4 linked regions of the Callithrix jacchus genome follow. The protein of the gene in region 3 interacts with the protein of the main gene of each other region in a pairwise test. Links are inferred from orthologs where the notes say so. Each region holds a gene or a part of one and is shown on either strand. Other genes may lie near its edges. The genes, in order: NELFCD, CSNK2B, ARAF and TIMM44.

What was found.
Region 1: the proteins of ARAF (region 3) and NELFCD interact in binary tests that used the Homo sapiens proteins (3 or more experiments, as listed by UniProt). The link is inferred for Callithrix jacchus from reciprocal best matches to the Homo sapiens genes ARAF and NELFCD.
Region 2: the proteins of ARAF (region 3) and CSNK2B interact in a two-hybrid assay, tested with the Homo sapiens proteins (2 studies listed by BioGRID and IntAct). The link is inferred for Callithrix jacchus from reciprocal best matches to the Homo sapiens genes ARAF and CSNK2B.
Region 4: the proteins of ARAF (region 3) and TIMM44 interact in binary tests that used the Homo sapiens proteins (3 or more experiments, as listed by UniProt). The link is inferred for Callithrix jacchus from reciprocal best matches to the Homo sapiens genes ARAF and TIMM44.

What each region holds. Positions count from the first base shown.
Region 1 is NC_133506.1:54,548,985-54,553,699, reverse strand, and holds the start of NELFCD (negative elongation factor C/D), read right to left. Parts: upstream 3,009-4,715; 5' UTR 2,999-3,008; coding exon 2,912-2,998; intron 1-2,911. UniProt on the Homo sapiens protein: Essential component of the NELF complex, a complex that negatively regulates the elongation of transcription by RNA polymerase II.
Region 2 is NC_133505.1:39,169,076-39,174,049, reverse strand, and holds the start of CSNK2B (casein kinase II subunit beta), read right to left. Parts: upstream 3,074-4,974; 5' UTR 2,958-3,073; coding exon 2,882-2,957; intron 2,561-2,881; coding exon 2,478-2,560; intron 1,514-2,477; coding exon 1,411-1,513; intron 829-1,410; coding exon 713-828; intron 271-712; coding exon 195-270; intron 49-194; coding exon 1-48. Other genes in the region: GPANK1 (G patch domain and ankyrin repeat-containing protein 1), read left to right, coding at 4,920-4,974. UniProt on the Homo sapiens protein: Regulatory subunit of casein kinase II/CK2.
Region 3 is NC_133524.1:48,529,515-48,533,786, reverse strand, and holds part of ARAF (serine/threonine-protein kinase A-Raf), read right to left. Parts: intron 3,218-4,272; coding exon 3,115-3,217; intron 3,029-3,114; coding exon 2,874-3,028; intron 2,762-2,873; coding exon 2,663-2,761; coding exon of another isoform or gene 2,659-2,662; exon of another isoform or gene 2,519-2,658; intron 1,426-2,518; coding exon 1,269-1,425; intron 1,166-1,268; coding exon 1,138-1,165; intron 1,064-1,137; coding exon 918-1,063; intron 820-917; coding exon 617-819; intron 1-616. UniProt on the Homo sapiens protein: Involved in the transduction of mitogenic signals from the cell membrane to the nucleus. May also regulate the TOR signaling cascade. Phosphorylates PFKFB2.
Region 4 is NC_133523.1:7,472,853-7,477,124, forward strand, and holds part of TIMM44 (mitochondrial import inner membrane translocase subunit TIM44), read right to left. Parts: intron 3,541-4,272; coding exon 3,370-3,540; intron 747-3,369; coding exon 666-746; intron 15-665; coding exon 1-14. UniProt on the Homo sapiens protein: Essential component of the PAM complex, a complex required for the translocation of transit peptide-containing proteins from the inner membrane into the mitochondrial matrix in an ATP-dependent manner.

The sequences.
Region 1 (4,715 bases), on a different chromosome or scaffold from region 3:
TAACTTTCTGTCCCTCGTCCAAGTGGGATCACAGAATAAAAATGAAATGAACATCTGGTCCACCCTCCTCATCAATGAGAGCCCACTGGTGTCAATGGGATACATTAGGATCATGATCAAAATTCCCCAAACATGAGGCCGGGCATGGTGGCTCATATCTGTAATCCCAGCACTTTGGGAGGCTGAGGCAGGCGGATCATGAGGTCAGAAGTTCAAGACCAGTCTGGCCAATATGGTGAAACCCCATCTCTACTAAAAACTACAACAATTAGCCAGGCAATTAGCGAGCCTATAGTCCCAGCTACTAGGGAGGCTGAGGCAGGAGAATCGCTGGAACCTGAGAGATAAGAGTTGCAGTGAGCCAAGAGTACACCATTGTACTCTAGCCTGGGCAAGAGCAAGACTCCGTCTCAAAAAAAAATTCCCCAATCTTCCAACAGCAGGGTCTAGAGTTGGAAGTGAAGGCAGATTAGATGGCCCTTACATTCCCCAGTTCTAACACTTTTTGACTCAGCGGCTCAAGGTGAGGCCAGGGGTGGTGGCTCAAGCCTATAATCCCAGCACTTCCGGAGGCTGAGGCGGGCAAACTACTTGAGGCCAGGAGTTTGAGACCAGCCTGGCCAACATGATGAAAGCCCATCTCTACTAAAAATACAAAAATTAGCCTGTAATCCCAGCTACTTGGAAAATCACTTGAACCCGGGAGGCAGAGGTTTCAGTAAGCCAAGATGACACCACTGCAATCCAGCCTGGGCAACAGAGTGAGACTCTGTCTGAAAAAAAAAAGAGAGAGAGAGAAAAAGTCTCGGCGTGGTGGCTCACGCCTGTAATCCTAGCACTTTAGGAGGCCGAGGCAGGCAGATCACCTGAGGTCAGGAGATCAAGATCAGCCTGGCCAACATGGTGAAAGTGAAACCCCATCCCTACTAAAATACAGAAATTAGTTGGGCATGATGGCAGGTGCCTGTACTCCCAGCTTCTAGGGAGGCTGAGACCACAGAATCACTTGAACCTGGTAGACAGTGGTTACATGAGCCGTGATCGTACCACTGCACTCCAGTCTGGGCAGCCCAGTGAGACTCCCCCCCACCCCCAAAAAAAAAAGAAAGAAAGAAAAAAGTCTCAAGGTGATATACGAGATGCCCCAAACACCAACCCACCACTAAGATAATTCATACCCTCTCATCTGGACCACTTTGGTGGTCAGCAATTTGATGAAGCTGCAATAGAGGCAAATGACATGGGTTTGGGTCCCCTCTCCTTCCTTTATTAGTTTCATGACTTTGGGAAGGTCATTAAGTCTTTCCACCTCACTTTCTTCACTTACCAGATAGAGTAACACCCAACTCAAAATCTTGAGTGTGGAAGGTGATAATGCATGAAGCACATGGCCCAGGCTCTCAGCCACATCTGACTCTCTATCCACTCTACCCTAAGCCTCCAACGCTGTGAAATGATCCAACATGCAAATCTACTCATATCACCTCCTGCCCCAAACTCCTGAACAAGCCATTCAGCGGCTCTCCAAGGATCTTCAGACCTGCTCCCTACTGACCTCCTGCCACTGCTTCCACCAGGCAGCTAACCTCACAGGCCTTCTTTCAGTTCCAGAAACACATCGCCTGTCCTGTTATTTGCTACCACAGCTCCGAAGCCGTCATCACACCACCATCCATGTTCATTGAAGTAAGCCCACTGCATCCTTCATTCCCTCAAAATACCAGTTCAAAATGGACCAAATATCCCCATTGTTGATTCTTGTTAAAAATGCAAGTTCCTGGGCCAGGCGCATGGGTCACACCTATAATCCCAGAACTTTGGAAGGCCGAGGTGGATGGATCACCTGAGATCCAGAGCTTGAGGCCAGCCTGGCCAACATGGTGAAACCCCCTCTCCACTCAAAATTTTAAAAAATGAGTGTGGTAGCAGGCGCCTGTAATCCCAGCTACTCGGGAGGCTGAGGGAGGAGAATCACTGGAACCAGGGAGGCAAAAGTTGCAGTGAGCCGAAATTGCACCATTACACTCCAGCCTGGGCAACAAGAGTGAAACTCTGCCTCAAAAAAAAATGCAAGTTCCTAGGCTCTCGTGCAGATCAACTGTAGGGACCTGAGAAGCTGCACATTTCAATCATGCGCAGCAGGTGGGTTTTAAGATTAGAAAAAGGCTCCGGCCAGTTGTCCTGGCGCTTGAGGAAGCGAGGCTGAGTTCAAGGCCAACCTGAGCAACATAAGAAGCTCTCATTAACAAAAAAAAAAAAGGTTAGAAAAAGGTGGTGACAAACCAGCCTGACTAGAACTGCCTTCCCTGGCTCTGCAGGCCCTGTCCTCAGGGGAGAATAGAGTGACCCCTCCTGGGCTTCCACTCCAAACCCTGGAAGGTCAAGGCCAGAAGATCCTTTTCATTATTTTGTCCAAAGACAGATGAAATCGGCCAGGGGTGCTGAAGAGTACAGTTTATAAAACAGTGAAACACAGTAGGAATGCCCAAAGTTTTACTTTTTCCCCACGATGCTGGTGTGAAGTTTTCCATTTTATTTTTGTTTAAAACTGTCTGGGCTTCGAGCCCAACCCTCCACCTTAGTATTGGTGTCCCACCCGCCGTGGGGGTCGCAGGGCCGGCGCCGAGGCTGGCCGGAACGAGGGGTCACTGGGGGCTTCGGGCTGTCCCGCTCCAGAGCCACCGCCGCCTCGTCCCCGCCCCACGGTCCTGCAGGCGAAGACGCAGGGACCCCGGGCTGGGGGGGCGGGGCGGGCTGTGTAGAACCACACGGAGACCGCGCAGGCCGTGCGCGCGCACACACCCCGCACGCCCGCGGCCTCGCGCCGCGCGGGCTTGCCGGGAGCGGAGCCGGCCCGCCGGCGGCGGAGACGAACGATCCTCGCCGGGGAGCGCCCGATGCCCCGCCTTACCTGGCCGCCGTCAGCCTCGTCGCCCGACTCGGCCGCGCTCCCGAAGTAGTCCTCATCCATGATGGCTCCCGGCGCGGACACCGCCATGCTCTACCGCGAGCTAGCGTGGCGCATGCGCGAGGCGAAAACGGGCGAGCGGACGCACGCGCGGCCCCGCGGCCCCGCCCCCCGCGCGCTCGGCCCGGGCGGGAGGCGGGGCTTGGAGGAAGGGGTGGGGCCTGGAGGGGGAGCAGAGCCGCGGGCTTCCCGCTAGGAACAAAGAGGACCGGGCGAAAGGAACGCCCCCCAATCGGTTTCTGAGCGCTGCTAGGGTGGGCCAGGGGCTTATGCAGAGAGGTTTCCAACTGGACTCGTGCACGGTCTCACTCCTGTTGCACCAGCCCTGCGAGCGCCAGTTTCTTCATCGGACAGCTGGGAACAAATTCTTTGGGGAGTGTCTAGAACCCACGAAAGTGTTTTAATTTCTTTTATTTTTGGTAAAAAGTACTAAACGCGGCAGGGCGTGGGGGCTCACGCCTGTAATCCCAGCCCTTTGGGAGGCCTCGGAGGGCGGATCACTTGAGATCAGGAGTTCGAGACCAGCCTGGCCAACATGCTGAAACCCCATCTCTACTCAAAATACAAAAATTAGCCAGGCGTGGTGACGGGCGTCTGTAATCCCAACTACTAGGGAGACTGAGGCAGGAGAATCGCTTGAACCCTAGAGGCGGAGGTTGCAGTGAACCAAGATCACACCACTGTACTCCAGCCTGGGCAACAGAGTGAAACTGTGTCTCAAAAAAAAAGAGAGAAAAGAAAAGAAAAAGTACTAAATGCAGTGGAAAGTAACGTTTTTAATTTTTTTTTTTTAAATGGAGGAAAGGCCCGCAAAGCAAAAGTGTCCAGAGCCCACAAAAATCTCTGGAGAAAGGACCTCCCTGGTAGCTGCCAAAGGGCGCAGGTGATGCTGTTGTGAAGCCCGCAGCACACTTCTAATGTGAAGTAGGGAGTAAGAACATGACAGCCTCTTGATAATCACGGAAAGGCTTTTGTTGGCTGTTGAGTGTGTGTGTGCTTTTTTAATTTTAAATTTGGTACATGTGCAGGTTTGTTACATTGGTATATTGTGTGATGCTTCTAATAATCCCTTCACCAAAGTAGTGAACATGGTACCAGATAGGCAGCTTTTCAACCTTTACCCGCACCCCCTCACCCCCCCCCCACCCCACCCCATCTCCCACACCTTCTGCCTTTTGGAATCCCCTGGGTCTGTTGTTCCCATCTTTGTGTCCAAATCGTGGAAAATTTTAAGCAGGGTGAAATTTTAACGCCATCAGATCTGGATACTTTAAAAGGAAATTTCCATGGCTGACCGCCGTGGCTCACACCTATAATCCCAGCATTCTGGGAGGCTGAGGTGGGAGGATTGCCTGAGGCAAGAGCTTGAGACCAACCTGGGCAACATACAGAGACATCCCCATCCCCTCGGCCAGGTATGGTGATGCATGCCTGCAGTCCTAGCAGCTCAGGAGGCTGAGGCAGGAGGATTGTTTCAGCCCAAGAGCTTGAGGTTGCAGTAAGCAATGGTCATGCCATTTCAGACTGTGTGACAAAGTAAGACCCTGTCTATAAACAAAAAAAAAAAGAAGGGTAATGCCCATGTCAGTAAGGAAAGGGTATTAAAGAGCTCCAGAATATTGATAATAGTGAACATTTATGGAGGGCTTATCAGGGAATATGTTTATTCAACAAATGTTTATTGAGTGTCCCCTAAGTGCTCGACTCTGTGCTGCTCCCTGGAGCTCAGTGGTGAACAAATTGGACA
Region 2 (4,974 bases), on a different chromosome or scaffold from region 3:
TGGGGCAGTAGAGCTTCACCATGGCTTCACCTGGGATGTCTGAAAGGCCTGGGAGACAGCCAGACTCAGCAGGCCAGGTAGCCCCCCATTCCCACCCTCACCTCCCCTCAGGACTCAGGCCCCAACATGCTGAGCCCAACTCCTTTCCATAAGACTGTCACACAGTTCCTTCCTTTCCCTGCTTCAACACTCACCAATGGGAAGCATTGGCTGGTTCTCACAGTACACACGGGGACAGTAGCCAAAGTCTCCCTGCTGGTACTTTTCCAACTGAGGTGAATAAAATGGAAGGGGTTGGCAGGTAGGTGTTAAGAGAAGAGGCAACTCCCTTCTCAGCCCAACCCACATCACTCTGTCCCCCACTCCTCCCACCTCTGTCCAGAGGCCCCTTCACTGGCCCAGATGGGCTCTCAAACTCCTATGTTGCCTTTCTTCCAGTTAGGCAGACAACAAACCATCAGAGCCATTCACTGTTTGTTCCTTGAGGAAGAGCCAATCTATAACAACTCTCTGTTCAAGGTCTGTCTCCCTCCCTGAAAACGATCCCTTCAGGATGACCCCCAATCAGGATTAAATTCCAAGGCCCAAGTTCTGGGGTTCTTCCCCTCTTCTCAGCTAGCTTCCTTAGCTGGGCTGAAACATGACTTCTTGCTGCAGGAACCTGTTTCTCTTACTGCTCAGAAAGAGGCAAGTGGGAGCAGAGTGGCCTCACCATCTGGGCAATGCCACGGTTGGTAAGGATGTAGCGGGCGTGGATCAATCCATAAAGCATCTCGGCTGCCTGCTCAATCAAGTCACTCTGGTTGGGGTTGTCTTCCAGTTCTTCATCTGAAACACAGCCCAGCCAAATGCAACCACTTGTTTTTCAGCTTTCCTAGGTGCCCTGCCCATACCCAGGGGCTGCTAGCTATTCAGTTTGCCTAGCACCTACTTTTGAGCCTTACCCTATCCAACACCTGGGCATGTGACCCAGAAACCTGGGCTTCTGACGCTTTCACCAGCCCAAGGCAGAGCTCTGCCTTCTCTTCACACCTCGTCAGCCTCTGCCCTCTCCTCTCCTCTCCTCTCCCTCCCAACTCCCTCCTCAATACATAAATGCGACAATATCAATGCAGAAGATCAAACTCCGGACTAGAAGGTCCAAGGTAGGAGAAACAGACAGCAAATGAGACCCATGAGGAAACCCATTTTGGAATAGATCCGAACTGTGGATTTAAAAAGTATGGGAAACAAGTGATAATGCGTCACAAAACTAGACAAGAGTCAGGTGGAGGATCAAAATAAAGCATGAATTTGGGGTTAAGAAAATCAGAGAACCAAAGGAAATTTCAAAATTCAAGCAAGTGAATAGGGATCTGAAGAGAAAAAAAAGTACACGCACACACACAAACAACCCTGAGGGTGCCTCACCAGGCTCCAGGTCCAAGATCATATCTAGAGCTTGTCGATAGTGAGGGACCTGCTCATTGAGTCCAGTAAGATTAAATTTGTCCTGGATGTAGTCTTCATCCACCTGTCAGGATATGGAAGCCAAGAGGGAACCCATGTCAAAATCTCCATCTTTAACGTGAGCAAAATGCTCTAACTGATGCCTTGTTATCAACCTAACTGCTCTGTTCCCCCTTGTTTCTCACTTGAAACTCAGCAGAAGTACTCGCGTCTCTTCTCTGTTCACCTATACTCCCTCCCATAAAAGCTTTGGCTTTTGTTTTCTAAGGATAAGCAGGTACAGCAGTCTTTTTCTTAGAGAGACATTCTTTTCAAGATCTCTATCCTTATTCCTGTCTCCCATCGCTAGGAACCATTTTGTCCTCTCAGCTGGCTAAGGAAGGTGGAAGCTGAACAGCCTGGTTTCTGAACAAAAGATTTGGATACGTAGCATTTCAATTCTCCTAACGGCCACCTGAGACAGGTACTAGCAGTGCCACTTTAGTAATAAAAGACACACGCTGGGTGCACTGGCTCATGCCTGTAATCACAGCCCTTTGGGAGGCCAAGGCGGGCAGATTACCTAAAGTCTGGAGTTCGAGATCAGCCTGGGCAACCTAGTGAAACCCTGTCTCTACTAAAAATACAAAATTAGCTGGGCGTGGTGGCAGCCACTTGTAATCCCAGCTACTTGGGAGGCTGGAGCAGGAGAATCACTTGAACCTGGAAGGCAGAGGTTGCATTGAGGTGAGATCACACCACTACACTCCAGCCTGGGTGACAGAGCAAGACTCGGTCTCAAAAAGAAAAAAAGAGAAAGTCACAAATTGCCTAGTCCAACGTTATATTGCTGGAGGATGGCAGAGTTGGGACAGGCCCCAATTTTGCCACTTTAGCACAGATTTGCCGGGGGTTACTGAGGGGACTCTTCATTGATGGGAAGTTTTCAAGTAGCATATAAGAGAACGATGAGGAAGTGGAATATGTGGAGAAACGTCTAGTGGGAATCTATGTGGAGCTGGCAAGGAGGGGGGTTGAAGAGAACTCACTTCACAGAAGAATTCATTGCCACGGAGCCCACAGAACCAGGAAATCCAGGACACCTCCTCTGAGCTGCTCATCTTCACGTCAGCTGGAAAACGAAGAATGTCAGTAAAGCTCAAGTTCTCCCTCCTTGCCTCTGGTATCCTCCCTCCTCCCACATTCGGCCCTCCAACCACGGGAGACTTTAGAATTTGGAGCCGTCCTTTTTTAAAGGATCCCAAACTCTGAAACACTCCTCTCCAGCTCCTCTAATTTACGTCTCAGCTCCTTTTCTTTGAGGTTAAACACACTTTGGGGTCCCACCACTTGAGAGAACCCAACAGATACTTTGACCCACCAGCCTGACCCACATCCCTGGAGCTCCCGAAGGCCAGGGCCCTCTCTACTTTGTGTCACCTCCAGCACGGACCTCGGCTCAGGCTCCCTACCACTGCAGCTCTCTGCATGACCCCGGCGCCTTTCCCAAGCGTTTCGAAGTTTATCATTCTCTAGCAAGAGCCGGGCCCCTCCTCTTCTTATGGGCTGGAGCGACCGTCAAGTCCCTTTCACTGGAGTCCACACATCTTGCCTCCGCTCCTCAGGCCACCTCTCCCTCCTTTGTGCCGGACCTGGTCGCTTCCTCCCCCGCCCCCACATCAAAGTACGGAGACCCCATGTGCTGCTCCCAACAAGAGACTCTGAGTAGCGACGACCTCAGACTCACCGCCTGGACGGGGACCAGGACTGGGGTGGGGTAGGGAAGTCGCTAGTTCCAAAGAACGGCGGCGACCGCTACAGCGCAGGCCGCGGACCCGACCGCGGCAAGAGAAGTGGGGTGGGGGGGAGTGGAAATTGGGGAGGGTGGGGAAGAGGGCAACACGCAAGCGCCAAGGGTCAGGTGCTGCGATGGATGCCGGGACACGGAGTCCCAGGTAGAAAGAGAAACTGGTGAAATGAAGGAAAAGCGAACTACCAATCCCAGGAAGACCCGCGGACGACCTGGCTGTCACGAAGCCCCGGAGGAGGACGCTTGCGGGCGGGGCACAGCGAGAAGCCACCGGAAGCGGAAGCCAGGTATGACGTTTGGGGCCAGGGAGCCTGGGAAATATAGTTGTGTGCTCACTGGGAGAAAAGCCGAGATGGGGCGGGGAGAGGAGGGAGACACGCAGTTCCCGTCTAGTTCCGGCGCAGCGGGGCGCTGCTGCCCAGGGGACTGGCCCATCCCCGGCCAATCCGCTGGGTCCTTATTGATTGTTGAGCCCCTAGTGAGAGTCAGTCCCGCCGGACACCCTTGACTGGCCTCCTGTTACCCTCCCGGCTCTGGCCTCATGAGGCGAGAGGTGCAGTTTGGCTCCGTGCGTAGGGACTTGGGTTGGGTGGGCTGGGCTGAGCTGAGCTGAGCGTTGTGAGAACCAGAACGGCCCAGTGCGGTAACCTGAGGTGGGGCCAGCCATTTCGCTCGTCCCCTTGCACTTCTCCTTTTACGCTCTAAGTGTGACCTTAGAACCCTGGTCAGAGTAATGGTGAGGGGCAGGCGTGACGTTATTTCATTTCACGGCTTCTCGGCATTCCACAAGTTTCCCTCCGCCTCCTGAGGGCCTTTCCTAACACGGAGAGTGGATTCCCAGGTCCAGAAAATGGACTTGGAGCGAGGGGGCGGGGAGGGGGGCGGTTCACGTTGAGGAAGGCGAAGGGCATTGTGGGGGCGTATAGGTAAAAGTAGAACCCTAACCGACAGATCCTGGTGCTCGCGCCAGCGGGGCGCGCAGAGCTTTGCGCGTTTGCTATTGGAAAGGTTCCAGCGCGGGAAACTGAACTGGGAGCTTTGCGCACGCCTGAGCCCTCAAGTAATGTGGGTTGTGGTTTTTGTTGTTGTTGTCGTCGCCACGCATGCGTCTTCGTGCCGTGCGGCTGTTTGATTGTGTCAACTCTTCTGTTTAGAATAGTGCCATTTTGCCGTACGAAAGCTACACAGCATCGCAGACTGGAGCCTGTCCTCCAGATCTTCCTAGGGAGTGACTTCTGTTTCGGAGAAAACTCCAAAATGGTATCGAGGAAGATTTAAAGGGACAGGCTGATTTTTTTCTTAATGGTATGTGTGTTTTACGGAGGGGTAAAATGGTTTCAGAAAGAGGCTGGTATTTATTGTTGGTGAGGATGGGGGTGGGAGTGGGGGCGGGACGCAGGACCGCTGGACAACTGTCTCATGGAGTTTTATTAACCTTTGCTAAGGAGCAGAGTCGGTTATTGTAGGGTTCTGTGTTTTTACAGAAAACCTCTTTCCCTTAGGCCCTGCAAGGTCCTAAGTTGTGGCGTCATTTTAGCGGCAGGAGGGTGTTTTTTGACTAGTTTTTCTCATCCCAGCATGTCCCTGGAGACTCTGGTTGCTACAGGGGTCACCAGTAGCTTGGCTTGCTTGTGTCATCCTTCCCTTGCCTGGTTTCATTTTCTCATTTCTCCCAAAAGCCATGTCCCGGCCCTTCCTCATCACCTTCACCCCAGCCACTGACCCCAGCGACCTCT
Region 3 (4,272 bases):
AATATGCATTTAGCTCACACAGAGCGAATGTCCACTGGCAGTACTATTATAGTTACTATGTGCTACATAGTAACTATAGCAGCAAAAAAGGGACACCTGGCTTTCTTAGCATGGCTGGATGAATACTGTATTGATTACATACTAATAGTAATTATAATAATAAAGCAATAATTAGATTCTTGTGATGATAATAATATTGTTTAAATCAAGGCATTAGAATTAGTGAATAATGAGAACCAACACTATAAACAGAACATTACTGATGTAGTTCAAGCAGAGGGGAAGGAAAGATGCAAGCCTTCCTGGTAATGGGGTTACTGCAATGATGGCCCACACCCAAACCCAGTTCACAGCAGGCAACTGAGAAGACCCACACTTTGGAGGCAGAGCCATTAATTAATAACCCAAACACAAAACAACTGCACAATCAGAGGTCCTGTAAACATACCCATTTCCCAGAGGGGAGAGGGACATCCTTCAGAGAGAAACAACTTCTGATGATGGTTTAACAACACAAATGCAGGTGATATCCAGGAAGCACTCCAAGCATGGCCTTTTCCCGGGAAGGGCCAAGGCCAGGGCTGCCACCCCAATCCATGCACACGTTCAACCTCACCTGAGCACCTGCATCTCGTTCTTGAAGGCTTGGGCCTGCTCAGCTGTGGGCTGGGACACCTTGAGCACCTTCACAGCCACATCGCCATGCCACCGCCCTCGAAACACGGTGCCAAACGAGCCTGTCCCAATCCTCTTCAGCAGCTGCACCTCACTGGGTGGTACCTCCCAGTAATAGCCTGAGTCCCGGTACCCCAGGTTCTTCTGTGGGCCAGATGGGTGGCATCTAAGAGGCCTGCCCACATCCTTCATCCCACATAACTCAGCCTTGGTCCCCCCAAAAGGTCCCCCCTTGATCATACCACTTTTTTCTTGTCATCAGCCAAGGACTTCCGCTCACGCTGCTCTGCTGGTGACTTGGAATGTGGGGACTTCCTCCCCGAGGACACGCTGACTGGGCTGGGGCTCCCCCGGGGGGCTCCATCTCCACCTCCTCTACTACTGGCAGCTGCAGTTACAGAGAGGATGTGAGTGGAGGCAAGTGGGGTGGCGAGGGCCAGAGTGCAGGCACGGGGGACTCACCATCAGTGCTGAAACTCTGGCCAGTGAGCTAGAAGAAGAGGGACAGGGGTCAAAAAGAGGGCACGGAGGCCAACAGAAATGACTCTCCCCTCTGTCCAGCGGTCCCCACGATTGTCCCCCACAGCACCAACCTGGATGAGGTTGGAGTCCATGGGAGCCGTGGAGCTGACCATATGGACGTTGGGAGTGGACGTGGAGCGGATGCGCTGCAGGGGAGCATTGGCTGGGGTGGGGAAGGGGAAGTGCTCCGGGTCACAGTGCTGGTTGCAGGGGCTGCCAGGGGAAAGGCTGTGAAATCACTGTCAGGAATCAGAGAACCAAGAAAGCCCCCCACCCCACCCCCGGCCGTAAACATGCATTTAGCTCACACAGAGCGAATGTCCACTGGCAGTACTATTATTCATTGCTTCAAGAAACATTTATTGAGTGCCTGCTGTGTGCCAGATACCATTCTAGGTGGTGGAGATAAAACTGTAAAACAAAATAACAGTTCTTGCCCTCATGGGGCTGAAATAAAAAAACAAATATATAATATGCCTGATGGTGACAGGTGCAATAAAGAAAAATAGTAAAGCAAAATAAGGAGACACAGTGTTCCTATAAAGTGTCAGAAAAGACTTCTCTGAGGAGGTGACACTGGAGTAAACGCCTAAAGGCAGGATAGCAAGCCACACGGATAGTGGGAAAGGGCAATGTATCATATTTTATCATTATATATTATAGTTACATGTATTCTTCAAATGTTATATAATATGCATTATCTATATTAAAATGCCAATGTCTTAAAGTATACATATTACCATGTTCTATGTTATACATGCATGTTATACATAGGATATATGCTAAACAGAAAGTTACAAAAATATGTTAATGTTCCCTCACTCTCCTGAAATGAAACTCAACGGTAATTAATCCACATACACACATTAAAATAATAATACCCTAACCTTATTTTATGTATTATATAAACACGTATGATGTTCTACATGACACACAATTATGTAATACAACATGATACAATAACATAAAAATACCATAAAACATACACATTATAAAATATATATTAGAGCAGTAATATATTTTAATATAGCTATAGTATTGTATTATTATAATATTAAACATAAAAAGCAATAAAAGGGAAGTAATTTATAAAACATTTCAAAAAGGAAAGGCTTGAGCATGGTTCTAGAAGAATTAGCAAAATAGTTAGATGCTTATATTTATAATTAATAATAAAAAGAATTATTTACACTGTACCAGATCCTGTTCTAGGCAATGAACATCTTAACTCATTTAATCCTCACCAGAACCTTATATGGTAGAAAGTATCATTATCCACTTTACAGATGAGAAAACTGAGGCCCAGAGAAATCAGGTGATTTGTCCAAGGTCCCAGTTTCATGCCCTTATTCACACTTGTAGGTGCTCAATAAATGTTTGTCAAGTAAACAAATGAATAAAGTATGGCTTGTGGTCTACAAGAGCCCCAGATCTTTTTCTCCCCCTTCAGCTAAGGCATCCCTACCTGGGACCCTGGGGGGTTAGCGACTCATTCAGGGGGCGGTTTGAGGGAGCCTCATGCTGTTTGGAGCCTCTGGACAAATCCTGGACACTGTGGTAGAACCTTGAGGGCATGAAGGGTATAAAGCAAGGGGACACGGATCAGCTGTCTGTAAGGGCCTTGTGGCTGGGCCTCTGTGCTCCCCATCCCCCCACCCACCCTAGGTTGGGCTCACTGTTGGCAGGTGGTACTCATGTCAACACAGACTGTGGGGACCTTGGAGGAACAATGCTGGTGGAACTTGTAGCCACAGGTTTGGCAACGGAAGCCATGGAACAGAAACTTAAGGCAGAAGTCGCAGAACGCCAGGCTGAAGAAGGTCTTCCGTACCTGATGCCACAGAGCAGGGAAGTTTAAGACCTGATCAAGGACACCCTTCAACCATAGTCGGCCCACAATGTCCACCCTGCACTCACAAAATTGTGCATGGTCAGCGGAACATCTTCAAGGACCTCGACAATGAGCTCCTCGCCATCCAGGGGAGCGATGGCTGTGTCCCAGGCAGTAACCGTCTTTCGTCTGCAGGGGGCATGGAAGGGAATGAGTGGGAGGGTGGGGAGGGGTTATGGGGAGGCAGGGAACTCCCAAAAGTCCCTCCAAGCCTGCTACCCACAGCGTCATGTCTGGCATGTTTAATTCTCATCATAGCTACTCTAGGAATTATTTACTATCCTTGCCCCCACTTTACAGATGGGGAAACAGGCTCAGAGGGATAAAGTGACTGGCCCAAGGCCACAAGTGTAATGAAAGGCAGGACTGTGTGAAGAGTCCATGCTCTTAAACGGAAGTGGAGAAGCAAATGAAACTAAACAACTACATCTCAGGAGCACTAAGCCAGCCCCTGAAAAGGGGGCTGAGGAGGCACTGAAATAACAAAGTGCAGTGTGTGAACTGCATACAAAATTAAGGAACCTCACAAGAGAGGAATAAATAAGGTCAGCAAGGCCCAACTCAGCAGACAAAGAATGGGGAAAATGAGGAAGAAGAGAGCTGATGAATTCATGAAATCGCGAAAAGACAAAATAGATGAAATCTGGGAGGAAGTGATGGAGCAGGGTGAGGACTTGGGGGCCAGGGGAGAATGAGTTGCTGACCTTACAGGCCAATGAATCAATGAAGTAACAAAACAAAAATTGGATGAACTCATAGATTAGTTGAACTACCATAGTCCTCCCTTATCTGTGGTTTCACTCTCCACGATTTCAGTTACCTGTGATCAACTGGGTAGGAAAGTGTTAAATTTAAAAATTGCAGAAATAAACAATTCATAAGTTTTAAATTGCGTGCATTCTGAGTAGCATGATGAAATCCTGCACCATCCCACCCGGGATGTGAATCATCCCTTTATCTAGCAGATCCACACTGTCTGTGCTACCGCCCATCTCTTAGAAGCCTGCTCAGTTATCAAACAACTGACTCAATATCATAGTGCTTGTCTTCAAGTGACTACCATTTTACTTTAACAATGGCCCCAAACCACAAGAGTAGTGTTGGCGGCAATTCGGACATGCCAAAGATAAGCTGTAAAGTGCTTCCTTTAAGCAAAAAGGTAAAAGTTCTTGACTTAAAAGAAA
Region 4 (4,272 bases), on a different chromosome or scaffold from region 3:
ACTTCATGAAGGCTCTACTGAGACAGACAAAGGGGGGCGTTGGCACCAGACCCAGGGGCAGGGGATGCAGGAGGAATGAACTCCTGCTGGAGGGAAGGGCAGATCTGGCTTCTGAGGCCAGCATAGGCCTTCTGTGCTCCTGTGGCGCACAGAACCACCAGAGCCACGAGACCACCACCATGGCTTCCTGGGTGCTGGTCCCTGGGCGAGGGGTGAGATGCTGGGTCAACTGGCCCCTCCTGAAAATGGGCAGGAGTCCTCTGGAGACAGAGGAAGTGCTCGGACCCCATGCTGGGCAAACCCAGATAGAACAGGTGACAGAGGAGAGCCTGCAGCACCCCAGGAGGCCTCCCTCCCGCCTCCACCCTTGCCTGGGGATGGAAGAGGCCCCTCCCCTCCTATTTTCAGGCTGGAAAAACATTTTCGTTTTCTCCTCGTCCTGGCTTACTGCTGCTGAGTTACAGGGTCAACTGTCATGCAAGGTCACGAGTCTGACCTCATCCTGTGTGTGCCTGGGGAACTCCAGAAGCCTTCCCGAGGGTGGTCCCAGGCCCCATGTCACCCAATGCTGCCAAGTCACCCCCCACCTGGGAGCCGACTCTTCCTTCAGCAGCAGGGGGACTGCGGTGGCCCCCAGGGGCTCTAGGTGGGTGTGGGACTCTTACCTCCTTCATGGTGCCTGTCAGCTCCCCAAGCTTCTTCCATAGCACCTCACTTGTCCGCATGGTTTCTGACTCCATGGTTTTCTAGGTAAAGAGTGTTGTGTCTTTGCCCGGCTAATTTTTGTCTTTTTAGTAGAGATGGGATTTTACCACCTTGGCCAGGCTGGTCTCAAACTCCTGACTTCAAGAGATCCACCTGCCTCAGCCTCCCAAAGTTCTGGGATTACAGGTGTGAGCCACTGCATCCGGCCAAGCTTTGTGTCTTTAAGTCTGTTTTGATATAGCAGTGCCATTTCTCTTACAGCCAAAGGTCCAAGAAACATTTTCTCGGCAGCCCCTCCCTCCCCACGCCTGCCACCATGCGCTGCCTCCGGGGCCCCTGACAGCCCATGTGGCTTGGATTAAGGGTCTCAGCGGCTGGGAGCTCCCTGCCCAGAAGGCTGGCAGACTCAGACTCTGGCGTGGCAGCTACCTCCTGAGAACAGGAGGCCCAGTTTGACTTTCACTGGGTGGCAGGAGGTGACCTTGCCTGTCATCACTCTGCCCCTCATCCAGCCTCCAGCCACCACAGCTTGGTCTTATGTCTCCCACACCATCCATCCCCCGTAAACCCAGCCTGCACTGTCCTCAGGTGGCCCCTGCCTTAATGCTAAAGAGGGGCTGGGCATGCAGCTATAGTCCCAGCGATTTGAGAGGCTGAGATAGGAGGATCGCTGGAGCCCAGGATGGGAGACCAACACAGGCAACCCTGTCTCTACAAAAAATAAAAAAAAATCAGCCAGGCATGGTATCCCATGCCTTTAGTTACACCTTCTCAGGAGGCTAAGGTAGGAGGATCACCTGAGCATGGGGAGGTCAAGACTGCAGTGAGCCATAATCGCACCACTGCACTCCAGCCAGGGTGACAGAGCAAGACCCTGTCTCAAAAAATCAAACTAGGCCAGGCATGGTGGCTCATGCCTGCAATCCCAGCACTTTGGGAGGCCAAGGTGGGCGGATCACCTGAGGTAGGATTTCCAGACCAGCCTGGCCAACATGATGTTGGCCTCTCTCTACTAAAAATACCAAAATTAGACACTCGTGGTGGTACATGCCTCTAATTCCAGTTTTTTGGAAGGTTGAGGCAGGAGAATCATTTGAACCCAGGAGCCAGAGGGGCAGTGAGCTGAGATCGTGCCACTGTACTCCACCCTGGGCGACAGAGCAAGACTCTGTCTCAAAGAAAACACACACAAAAAACCCCACAAACTAAGTCAAACGAAAACAAAACCCAAGGGACCTGTGGCAGGTGCCTGCATCTCTGAGGCTCAGCTGCTCATTGGTAAGCTGGGGACACTTGCACCTGCCTCGAAGGGCCCTGACAAATAAAGGAAAGCAGAGCCATTCCCAGAAGCCAGGCCTTGGCAGCTGCTCAAGAAGAGAATTAATAATCACAGGCTGGGAGCAGTGGCTCACGCCTGTCATCACAACACTTTGGGAGACTGAGGAATGCAGATCACTTGAGGCCAGGAGTTCAAGACTAGCCTGGCCAAAATGGTGAAACCCCTTTTCTACCCAAAAAAAACCAGATCACTTGAGGCCAGGGGTTCAACGCCAGCCTGGCTAACATGGTAATACCTGTCTTTACTAAAAATACAAAAATCAGCTCAGTAGTAATGCCTGTAATCCCACCTACTCAGGAGGCTGAGGCAGAAGAATTGCTTGAGCCTAGGAGGCAGAGGTTGTGGTGAGCTGAGATCGTGCCACTGCACTCCAGCCTGGGTGACAGAGTAAGACTCTGTCTCAAAAGAAAAAAAAAAAAAATAAAGAAAAATCAGCTGGGTGTGGTGGCAGGTGCCTATAATCTTAGCTACTCAGGAGACTGAGGCAGGAGAACAGCTTGAACCCAGGAGGTGGAGGTTGCAGTAAGTCAAGATTACATCACTACACTCCAGAGCAATGATGCCTGGGTGACAGAGCAAGATCCCATCTCATAAAGTAATTATACCAGCACCATCACCTAGTTTCCACCCGGCTTCACTCAGGGGGCGACAGCTGGGAGCTCTCAGGAGCGCTGCATCCCACGGCTGATGTGCATGTGTTGCCTGCGGTCCTGTGAAGATGTGAACGCTGGCCTGGCAGTTTGGGAGGGTGTGAGCCTCTGCATCTGGCACCCACTCCCAGGAGCAGCCACAACTGCTGGTCTGGGGACCATGCTTGAAGGTGCACAGAATGCTACATGGTTTCATGGCAGAACCCAGAGGCCCGGAGACCTGCTCCTGTCCCCTGGCTGCCTCTCATTAGTGCATCAGAGCAGTGACCTCACGAGCCACCCTGCCCCCAACCGTCTGGCCCTGAGCTCCTCTGGCTGAAGCTGGCCTGGAGTAACCCTGGCTCTGGAAACAGATATGTCAACCAAGAAAAATAAGAAACAAAGGCGCCTGACAAGGTGGCTCACGCCTGTAATCTCAGCAATTTGGGAGGCCCAGGCGGGCGGATCACCTGAGGTCGGGAGTTTGAGGCCAGACTGACTAACAGGGAGAAACCTCGCTTCTACTAAAAATACAAAATTAGCCTGGCGTGGTAGCATATGCCCGTAATCCCAGCTACTTGGGAGGCTATGGCAGGAGAATCACTTGAACCCAGGAGGTGGGGTTTTGGTGAGCCAAGATTGTGCCACTGCACTCCAGCCCAGATGGGGGAAAAATAAAGCAGCAAAGGAACTCACGTATTTCCTTCTGGCCTCCTGGAGCGTGTCTGATTCTTCCAGCCTCCTGGCCTCATCGCGAAATTTTTTAATACTTTCTTTCATTTCTTCGTTTTTGGCTAATTCTTGTTTGATATTATCTAGCAAGCCGGACAGAAAGCCTTTTCTGTTTCCAGAAGAATATGATTTGGACTAGAAAGAACGCAAAAGAAAAAAACATTTAAGGAACACAGTAGGGCCGGGTGCGGTGGTTCACGCCTGTAATCCCAGCACTTTGGGAGGCTGAGATGGGTGGATCATGAGGTCAAGAGTTTAAGACCAGCCTGGCCAACATGGTGAAACCCCCTCTCTACAAAAAATACAAAAATTAGCTGGCCTGTAGTCCCAGCTACTCACGAGGCTGAGGCAGGAGAATTGCTTGAACCCAGGAGGCGCAGGTTGCAGTGAGCTGAGATCGTGCCACTGCACTCCAGCCTGGCGCCTGGCGACAGAGCAAGACTGTGTCTCAAAAAAAAAAAAAAGTAAAGAACACAGTAGAAGAACATACAACAAAAAGCCCCACAGAGGGACTCTAAGGGATTTTTGTTCTGTTTTGTTTTTGTTTTGAGAAGAGTCTCACTCTTTCGCCAGGCTGGCGTGCAGTGGTGAAATCTCAGCTCACTACAACCTCTGCCTCCCAGATTCAAGTGATTCTCCTGCCTCAACCTCCTGAATAGCTGAGACTACAGGTGCCTGCCACTGCGCCCAGCTAATTTTTGTATTTTTAGCAGAGATGGGGTTTCACCATGTGGCCAGGATGATCTCCATCTTTGAACCTTGTGATCTGCCTGCCTCTGGCCTCCTAAAGTGCTGGGATTACAGGCATGAGCCACTGCGCCCAGCCTCTGAGAGATTTTTTTTAAATGTTCTCTTTTCTGTTGATAT